2 linked regions of the Schizosaccharomyces pombe genome follow. Each later gene encodes a partner of the first gene's protein in a complex. Each region holds a gene or a part of one and is shown on either strand. Other genes may lie near its edges.

What was found.
Region 2: spc24 (region 1) and mis13 share a complex: the UniProt entries of both Schizosaccharomyces pombe proteins name them as parts of the NMS super complex.

What each region holds. Positions count from the first base shown.
Region 1 is NC_003423.3:2,753,618-2,759,888, forward strand, and holds spc24 (protein Spc24), read left to right. Parts: upstream 1-1,808; 5' UTR 1,809-1,887; coding exon 1,888-2,041; exon of another isoform or gene 2,042-2,088; coding exon 2,089-2,424; exon of another isoform or gene 2,425-2,554; coding exon 2,555-2,661; 3' UTR 2,662-2,687; coding exon of another isoform or gene 2,688-4,190; 3' UTR 4,191-4,254; coding exon of another isoform or gene 4,255-4,365; 3' UTR 4,366-5,143; coding exon of another isoform or gene 5,144-5,617; 3' UTR 5,618-5,771; downstream 5,772-6,271. Other genes in the region: transcription factor TFIIIC subunit Sfc3, read left to right, coding at 1-1,317; RNA polymerase I general transcription initiation factor subunit Rrn7, read right to left, coding at 2,688-4,190, 4,255-4,365; tif512 (putative translation elongation factor eIF5A), read right to left, coding at 5,144-5,617; GARP complex subunit Vps52, read left to right, coding at 6,022-6,271. UniProt on the Schizosaccharomyces pombe protein: Acts as a component of the NMS (Ndc80-MIND-Spc7) super complex which has a role in kinetochore function during late meiotic prophase and throughout the mitotic cell cycle.
Region 2 is NC_003423.3:1,153,772-1,157,541, reverse strand, and holds mis13 (MIS12/MIND complex Mis13/Dsn1), read left to right. Parts: upstream 1-1,920; 5' UTR 1,921-1,940; coding exon 1,941-2,930; 3' UTR 2,931-3,238; downstream 3,239-3,770. Other genes in the region: ade7 (phosphoribosylaminoimidazolesuccinocarboxamide synthase), read right to left, coding at 1-424. UniProt on the Schizosaccharomyces pombe protein: Acts as a component of the NMS (Ndc80-MIND-Spc7) super complex which has a role in kinetochore function during late meiotic prophase and throughout the mitotic cell cycle.

The DNA.
Region 1 (6,271 bases):
GCGGTTGTTATTACTCAAATTTATTATGGTGGGACCAACAGATTAATCAAATGGGAGGCTGTACAGAAATGCTTTCCTAACCGGGACATATATGCTCTTACTAGAAGATATTTATCCATTAGACAACATACAAAATTTAAAGGCTTGCAACAGTTTTTATCAGAAAATTGGCAGCAAATGTACAAAGATGCTGTCTCAAGAAAAGATTTAATGCCATATCCTGATTCTGTTGATGATTTTGATCCTACCCCATATGTTAAGGCGTCTTGTAGACCTTATATGATTAGTTCTTCAAATCTTGCTACTACTAGGTTACCGAGAGACCTCGTTGACGTTTATGAAACTTACAATATAGAGGTTGTTAAACAAGAAACTAATTTCCGGGAAATGATATTTGATCCTTCCCTGTCAGTTGCCTCGAAAATGAATGCGTATTGTGATATGCCTTTTACCATGCCGCTTTCCTTAAATGACAAACAAAATAATGAAGGGGATGAGAATTGTGAGAAAGGTCAGTTGTTTGATGCGAAGTCTACTATCAAGAGCATCGTTGCCATCCCAGACGCTACATATGATGCTCGGTTTTCGCAAGAACGTCTTATGCAGTATCCAGAAGATATTCTCATCGCTGCTCATCAAGAATTATTGGATAAGAGAATAATTACTAGAGTTAATTCAGAAAACAGTAGATTGCAGCCTGGTCGAAACTTCCAGTTTACGGAGAAATTTGCAAGTTCCCTCAAGTCTCCTTTACCTCCATTTTTATTGTCACAAGCCAAGCGATTTAATAAATTTTTATTGGAGGGTTTTCAAAATCATAAGAATCATTTATTTGAAGAAACATCTAACAGTGGAACTCTCGCATGTATCCTTGATTTATTATCTCAAGGAAAGTTGCAAATATCTATAGTCGGAAGCAAGTTTAATGAGTATGGTCTATCTGAAGGCTATCGTACTCGTTTGCTAGAACATGACAATATCAATGTAACTCTTGTTCTCAGCGGCAAAGAAAGTGAATCTAAAAAAAATTATGGTGTTACTGAAAAGTTGGCAACTCCACCTTCGCATGAGCCACGGCTATGGTTAAATGGTAAATGCGAGCTTATTGAGATGATATGGATGAATATCGAGCAGTCCATTGTATACCAACTGCTTCGAAAACCCGGAATCTTGAGATCCCAACTGACTAACTTACTATTTCCCGGATTAGAACCCCGTGAGTTTAACGAAGTACTTGATTACTTTATAGCAGCAGGTGCCGCTATTGAAAAGGATGGCTTATATCTAAACCATAATTATCTCTTTAAATTAACTTAGCCTTTTAAATGTCACCATGATGAGATGATGCAAGCTGAGTATTTTCTTTCAATAGGCTTGTCGATTTGGAACATTTATATTACAAGCAACGATTTAATGTTTATTTGTACAGTATTTAGGATTCATTTTTAAATTATCTAAAAGATACCACGCTGTGTCTGCTTCTAATCTATAATTAATTATATTAGCGTGTTTTGAATTAATCTGATTTCGCGTTTTCTTCCATCTAAACTTTATATCGTATAAAAATCAAAAAGGTTTCATCGACTGTTTTGCTGAAAAGGTGAAGAAAACTTGAATCGAGGTTATCTCTTTTCTTTCTGTTTTATGTACATAACTTTAGCTCCTATAGAAAAAAGAAAAAACCTGCATCATGTAGATTTGTTTAACTAATTTACGTATGCATATATATATATATATATATATATTAGTAGAGTAAGGTTGATTTTCTAACCATACTTTATTTACGGTAGCATCATTCGTACCTTTTCGTACGTTACGACCACGTTGAAAGTTTTCAAAGAAATTACTTTTTAAACACAAAAGAACATAAATAAAAGAGAAGTAAATATGTCAGACAGTCCAATTGAACTTATGCGGTCCACGCTTGCTGGTTTTCAAATTGCACCAGATGTGAAAACCATCTCAAACATTCAAGACATTCGCGCACAGATACAGAGCTTCAGAGAAAAAGAATTGGAAGGATCTCAAACCAAATTTAAAGGTTAGTTTTAATCTAGAAATAAACGACCATGCATTAACTGTGAATAGTGCTTTCAAGAAAATTAGAAATATCTACCCAGGCTATGGAGTCATTAAAACAAACAGCAGAGTCATCACAACACGCTGAGGAGATTTTAAGCAGGGAAAAGGAGAAATTTAGGATAGCCAAGTTGTTGAATATCACTGAGAACGAAATTATGAGTTTAGAATCTCAATTGCAGAAAATGAAGGAACAGCTACTACAACTTGAGGAACGCGAAAATACTTCTGAAGACATATGTCAGTCAGAGGAAAATGCGAATATGTTAAAGCTGAACTTTTATCATTCTTTAGGCTTCGATTTAGAAACTGCTGAGAACACTGGGAATAAAAGGGTTATAATACGTATGTCATTTGCTCATAATTTGAATTTACCTTTCAATTTTTTATCTTTAAAAAGCTTGATGATATGAAAAATTCAAGCTTTAAAATTGAACTTTAAAACTGTTTTTCGAATCTACTCACACTTTCCTAGATACCGAAAACGATTTGCAAACGGTACAAATCAGCAACAAGTATAGCCCATATTTTTATTCTAATTATTTTTGGGATTTGCTTGATGATAGTAAGGACAAAAAATAGATGGCACTATTATTTTATTTATTTATTTAATCTTGATTGTGTATACCGGTTTTTAAACATGACTCAACATAACGAATGGCCGCTATAAGAGAATCCAATTTGATATTATACAATTTGGCTACCATGATAGTAACCCGATGAGCTGTATTTTCTGTATTAGGTGAAAAAGGAAGCATTGATATATAAGCATCCTTTCGTCGTGAAAAGTCCATTTTATCAGACTCTTTAATGCCTACAGGTTTGAACACTTGTTCTAACTTTACATCTTCAGCAATGACGGATTCGTCGGTGAGTATATCTGTAGGTTGATTTTCTTGTAAATGGCTGTCTTTCGAAAGAATCGGAAATACGTTAAGAATTCCTTCTGGAATATTATTTGGGTTGTTTTCTTCGACAAACTCTTTTTCATACCATTGAAAATATTTATCCATTTCAGAGTTATTGAGCGTCAAAATGGATTGCTCGTCTATCTCGTAGAACTTGTCTTTTTCTTTCTCATTAATTTTTTGCACTTGGGATAACCACATGTTCCAGTTGGTTTTAACAGTGAACATCGAGTCTTTGTATTTGGAATTTCGAGTTTGGGCATCATCAAACCCATAACATACATTTGCTGCTACTAAGATGGTAGCGAGTAACATAACCTCCGCATCAGATAACTTTTCATGTATCGATTGAGCACTGCGTATTTTGCTTTGATAATTATCGCTAGAGGTACCTTGAAGTGAAATCTGCGAGTGAACGAGATTTAGTAAACGAGAAGCAGGTATGAAGATTTCTAAGGGAAAAAAGAAACTGTTAATAAGCTCAAAAAGTATCAATGGCTCATTAGGTGGAGGAACTTTTAGTTCGTATTTAGATACTAAAACGTCAACCAATGTCAAGACAGCGGATTGTATGCGTTGATACGTTGGATAATGAAAAGGAATTAGCATCCTTACATAGTTTTTTTGAAGCCTTTTAAATATTTTTAGAGGTATCTGTTTATACGCTCTATAATATGGAATAATATTTTTCCTTATTAAAACTTCGAGTTTATGAATGGTCAGAGGCAGTCTTAGTAAAAGACAGGCGACATAAATAAAGGCAGAAGAGTATAAAAGCCGAGGATAAGATATAGAATGCGACTGAGAAGTTTCCTTCGTTTTTCTTGAGCTCGGATCAGCTCCCGGTTGACTCTCAGGATCTATGAGATCAAAATCCGAATCTGATGATTCTGATTGCGTTGAATTTTGGTTGAGGGAAAGAAAACTAGAAGTAAATGATTCATAAGACAGGGAAAGGTAAAGCGCCCAAAGGTCACGTATCATGCCTTCTATTCTTTGGTCAAATCCGAGTTTCGTAGTTAACGCTTGACATTGAAGTTGAAGAATAATTTGAAAAGCCTGAAGATATAAGCTTCTACCAGCGGTACCATAAACAATCTCATCTTCATCTCCAGTGTCTAGATGGTTGCGAACAACCTTTCTTTTACGAGTTTGATAAAAAGTCCCTGCACCAGGTTCATCATCTTGAGCGATTTCAATTCCCTAAAATTTAACAATTTTATTAATGAACATTCATTAAAGCGCAAACCTATTAAAAACAACTTACATGTTGAGCATGACCACGACGACAAAATGTTTGACCTGCATTTTTAAAATACCAAGTACTTTTGCAGTTTCTTACAGAACAAGGCGGACCTTCAAACCAATTGCCTTCCATTGTAAAGGAACTGGATATGCAAATAGATGCAGACTTATTTAAAAGTACAAACAGTGAACTATAGACGAAGAAAAATAAGAGAACAAAACACTTAAAGGGTATTCAAGTAGGTAAGCATTTGTAAAAAGATCTGCACAGTTTCTAACGGTGTTGTTATTTATAAACTGCTATGCCAGCATTTTACCAATATTTTGGAAAGTATGAATCGACTGAAAAAACCTAACAGATTTTCTTTCAGCTGCGAAATACCGTTTATATAGTTTTGGATAAATCCTTCACAAATGTATCACAGTAGACTGTTAGTCAGTCAGTAGCGATAGGCAGTTTTTGAGATCTAACGGGCGCCACGTTAATACATATGAGTTGTAACGGCTTGGTAGATAGTGCATACATTGATTAACTATTGTGAAAAGCCATTATATAAAAACTGCAAGTCCACTCTAGATTATATATTACCTCGGGTATCCAACCTTGAGACATAAAGGTTGAAACTAGGATAAAAATTGAGGAAAGTTAAAATAGGCTGAAGAAAAGGTGCTACTGATACATTTAAAAGAGAAAATAACAGCCATCAAGCAGTTTGATACATACCCGTAGTACGAATATATAACCATAATCTAATTTATCTTAAAACTATCAGATATATAAGAAGTCTTACGTTTACAGATTCCAAAGAACATTCTATTTACAAAAATCGTTAAACAAACAATGAATATGGTAAAGGAGGAGCAAAACTTGTTTACTAAACGACCATTTTTAAAGGGAAGAGGGTTTATATTTAGGCGCTGGGAGCATCACGGCAAGCGAGAGCAATCTCTTCACCCATGGCAGAGACAACGGTAATGATTAAATCCTTACCCTCTTCAAAGCCCTCTTCAATTTCGTTGCCGAGTTCGCCTTCGGGAAGACGAACATCGTCCTTGGTAGTACCATCGGTAGTCATGAGGTTCAAGTAGCCATCATCAATGTTGACTAGTTGGTATTCGTCACGCTTGACAACAGGAACGTCCATGTTATGAGTAGAGGGAGACATATCTTCGTACTTGCGACCATTGAAGATATCAAGGGCAACAATGTGGACCTTGGCATGTCCGTGCTTACCAGTCTTAGAGGTGGACATGTCGACGATCTTGCAAGGACGGCCCTTGATGACGACGTGTCCGTTCTTACGCAAAGCAGAGCATTGCATAGGGAAGGTCAAAGAGGCACCGGCCTCACCACCCTCGAAATCGACGTGTTCTTCTTCTGCCATTGTTGGTTTATGCTCTTTCTGTATGAACATGCCCATCACTTTCCCATTTGTTAAATGTGACTACTTTTTCCATGTGAGATTGCTTTAACCCTACCCTAAAGCAACCAAACTAAGTGCAGTGAAGTAAAACGTAATACATGTTATTTGAAGTATACCTTTGCAACGTTAAAATTCGTAAAGTAACTCATCATAATTATTTGACGTATCGTTAGATTACATTAAATTGTTCAGGCTTAACACTGATGGAAGCGCCGAAACCAGGGTGATAAACAACACCTAAATTAAACTTAACCCTCCTTAACTTACCAAACTAACTATTTGCAGGATTATACCTTCCATTTGTTCTGGGATGCAGCTGTCACGTTGAGATATAACATCTATAGGTACAGTATAATAAGTCCGGCATGCAGAGAGCTTCTACCCAGGATGTTTATGATGGAAGTGGTGATGATCTAAACAAACTTGATTCTCTCAAGTCAGTGTTGAATGATGTTCTGAGCTCTTTGGAGCGATTCCAGGTGGATCTGGATGTCGCTACTAGTGATATCTACAAAGTCAGTGAGCGCTCAAACAAAATTCAAGTAAATTTAAACAATTTGAAGGCAGTGGAGTCAGCACTTGGAGCAGAGATTGATGGTGCGATTCTTCCACCTG
Region 2 (3,770 bases), 1.6 Mb from region 1:
TTCCTGTAGGTACGTTAAGGCCATGAACAGTCCCTTGCTTTTGATATTCCTTCCAAGCACTTCCAGTGATATAGCCACGAACAATAGCTTCGATAGGAAGAATCTTGTATTTCTTAACGAGCATGGATCTATCCTTTAACTCTTCATGCTTCGTGATAACAGGAGGTAATTCTTCCCACCTAGAAGTAATCAAATGAGTTTGGACATGAGGTTTTAAAACATCAAACCAAAATTCTGAAATTTTTGTCAAAACCTTTCCCTTCTCAGGGATGCCGTTCTCCATGATAAAATCATAGGCGCTTATTCTGTCTGTTGCTACGAACAAAAGATCATCGGGAAATTCTACACACTCATACAGGTCTCTGACTTTGCCGGTAGCAATTTTAGTGAATGGAGCATCCAACGAAGTTTTTAATAATGCCATTTGAAATGAACTTGATGTAGAAATGAAGGTTTAAACTATTCCACTTGAAGACAATTAGCTTTTGGTATAAAAATAACAAAGTATTTAAAGAAAATCCGTGTGATCTCTTTTCATTTCGTTTTAATATGCTTCTTCTGTATGAGGTCTATATAGTATAACATAGAACATCGATTAAAAATTTCAGAGAAACAAAAGCAATTACAATTATCAAAAAGGATACTATTACATAACATACCACTTAGAATTGGCTCCAAAAAACCCTGGTTTCAATGAATCCAGTTAACTCTAACTTTCGATGTAGTAGAAAGGAAAGATACAAGAGAGATGAGACAGATCGTCGTAGATCTTGGCAATACACTGAGACAGATTAAGAACAGATAATCAGTAAAGATTCTTTTCAATTATAAAGAATTTAAAAATTCCGAAATAAATTCGTATTTGAGGATGATGGCAACCTAAGTAAGTGCTCGAAAAGTAAGTTGTACAGGACATGCTGTGGTTATAAATTCCATGTTTAATTAAAATAAATAAAACAAATAAATTAATAATTATAATAAGAAAACTATTACTTCACTTAAGTTAAAAAGAGCTTTAAACACCGACTACTGTTGCCTTTTTGACTGCAGAATATTTTGAAACAACTTTATATAGGAAGTGTTTTAAGAGTAGGATAATTCAAACTTTTAATTCTTAAAACTATACTGGATCCTTAAAGTTCTGGCTTGTCTGCAAAGCCATGTAATCTAAAATTGGGTACTTTCTGTAAATAATATGCAGCGATTTAAAATCAACAATAACCAGCTAAGTCTGAAAATTACTACAATTTAGATTTTGTACATATAGAATACTCGAATATTTTTCATTATACTTATATTTGATTATTCATCTTATTTATCGTCGCTATATTTTTCAACAATTATGATAAAGTACAAGCTCAATCCTGGCAGCTCATGGACATCTTGACTATTTGTCAAAAACTGTAAACAGTTTTAATGGTAATAATATCCACATTTTGTAATTTGCATAACTTTTCAGCTTAGCATTTCATGTCGCATTCCTCAATTATATATATATATATATATATATATTACATAAACAGTAAACTTGATATAGTATAAGAAGAGGTCTTATGAATTTATAAGGGGAATTAACCAACCATTCAATGGATTATGTTAAAATTATTATTCTTATTATTTTACAGCAGAAAAAAGGATATATATTTTTGTTTTTGCAAGTTCGAAGATAATCTAGCAATTAAACAAATATTTTATACCAAGTTGTAACAAGTGTATCTCCAAAAAGAAAGGAATACTTAACAGTAAAAAAGAATTTAATCATTATTTATTTTTTTATTTATTCTCTACATGAATATACTTTGCTTTGATGAATTTTCAATGCTCAATTGTAAGGCCGACTTATAACGCGCTCGCTATACTTTGTTAGGTTACCTAGTGTAAACAATGAGTAAGGTAGTCTTTGCAATCCTGACTCGACTTGACCCTAACCAGCATCCATTATGAAACGAAAGCCTGAAGAGCAGGAAGGATTTGTATTCGTTAGGAAGGGTAAAGAAAAAGCTGGTTCTAAAAGAAGGAAATCATCTGTGGAGGATGATCCAGATACCTCCCAAACCGATGGGTTAGTTGAGCTACCCGTGTCTGATACACCAATTGTGAAGCGAAACAAAGAACTTCGCAAGGGTAAAGGAAGAAGGAGTAGTCTTGACCAACGGGGTAAGCGTGCTAGTAGCATTGGTACTGGATTTGAAGCTTTACCACATGCAGATGTTCCATCGCATGAATACTATCGCCATATATCCAAAGACTTATCCGAACCTTTACGTATCAAACAACTTCTCCTTTGGGCTTCTTCAAAGGCCTTAGAAGAGCAAAGAAAAAAATACGGTGAAACGGAGGAAGCCAGTGAGGCAGCTATTGCTAGATCAATAGTTCAAGAAGTTCTTAACGAATTATTGGCTAATAAAGTTAGTGTTAGTTGGTATCAAAGACCACCTGATGCTGTAATTCCTAATAAACCTCATCCTCAAAATCTCAAAAATGCTCAGCTAGTGGACGAACTGTCGGCAAAGCTTACCCAACTCCATAATGAAGAAGCTGCATGGCGGGCTGTTGCTGCTAATTCCGTCAGTTCAGATAAATCAATTTTATCTTTTAAAAAAGCTGTAGAATCCATAGATTCTAAACAAGACCTTGATAAACAGGACTCTCCATTACCCCCAGATGATGCACCAGAACTTCCTAATATAAGTAAGCTGAAACCAAAATTCCACACTCTCCTGGACATGCTTGCTGAAAATATTCATACCTTGCATTCTTTGACTAACGCTGGACCTGAAGTCCGATCATCATATGGTCGCCTTGCTGCCCAGGATTTCATAGCCCATCGTAAAAGTTTGTTGTCCTTCTCCAAATATGTGGATACTATGAATTTATTAAGGCTTTTATCAGAAGCTTCCTATAAATCTTCCTCAAACGAATCAGTTTAAAATTGGATTAATCTGATACTGTTATGCCCAAATTTTTACTTATTTTTACGTTAATTTTATGTCTTTTTGCGTGCCATTGCTGCTAATTAACTAATAATGAAGGTGTGCAAACCAGCTGGACTGTGTTTGAAAATTCATGTTATACGTTATTTCAAAGGAACTCCTATAGTAGTAGCGCGCACTCACATTACTATCTACACTCAATGTACGATACATAACTGCTACTATTCACCCAATATTTAGAATTTATCAAAGGTTTCATAGTTAATTAATTTGAAATATTTGAGAAATAAATAGCTTTATCTCTAAAGTCTATATTCTATAATTAAATTTTAAAAAGCGAGAGCAGACATCGTCGCAGGTTTCGAAACATGTAACGTGTAATTAACAATAGCTTTATGATAACCAGAATACACGTGGTAAATTCCGTCATAATAGTAACGTAAAACTTTCAAACACAAAACCGCATACATGAAATTAAAAAAAAACCACGATTTCTATGAAGCTTGGACATTATTTAAATATTAAGGCAGCTTCTCAAACGCAACGGTGCACCAATATTGGAGACAAATTCAAGAAATCCCAAACCCAAACTGAAACTGTGGGGACATGAGCTAAAGAATTTTAAAAAATTTTAGCAATGGATAGGTGGAAGCATGCTTAAGGAACATATCTAAGTTCACTTATGGAATGATCCCTGAGGCGAAAAAAGCAAAGCAGCAAATTCTGACCGCTTTACGAAGCCAAGATTGTTGGCATATCTTTTAAAAAAGTGGGATAGCCAACTGAAATAATAGAGGCTTTAAATTCCTTGCATGTACACAACGCAAACCAAATGCA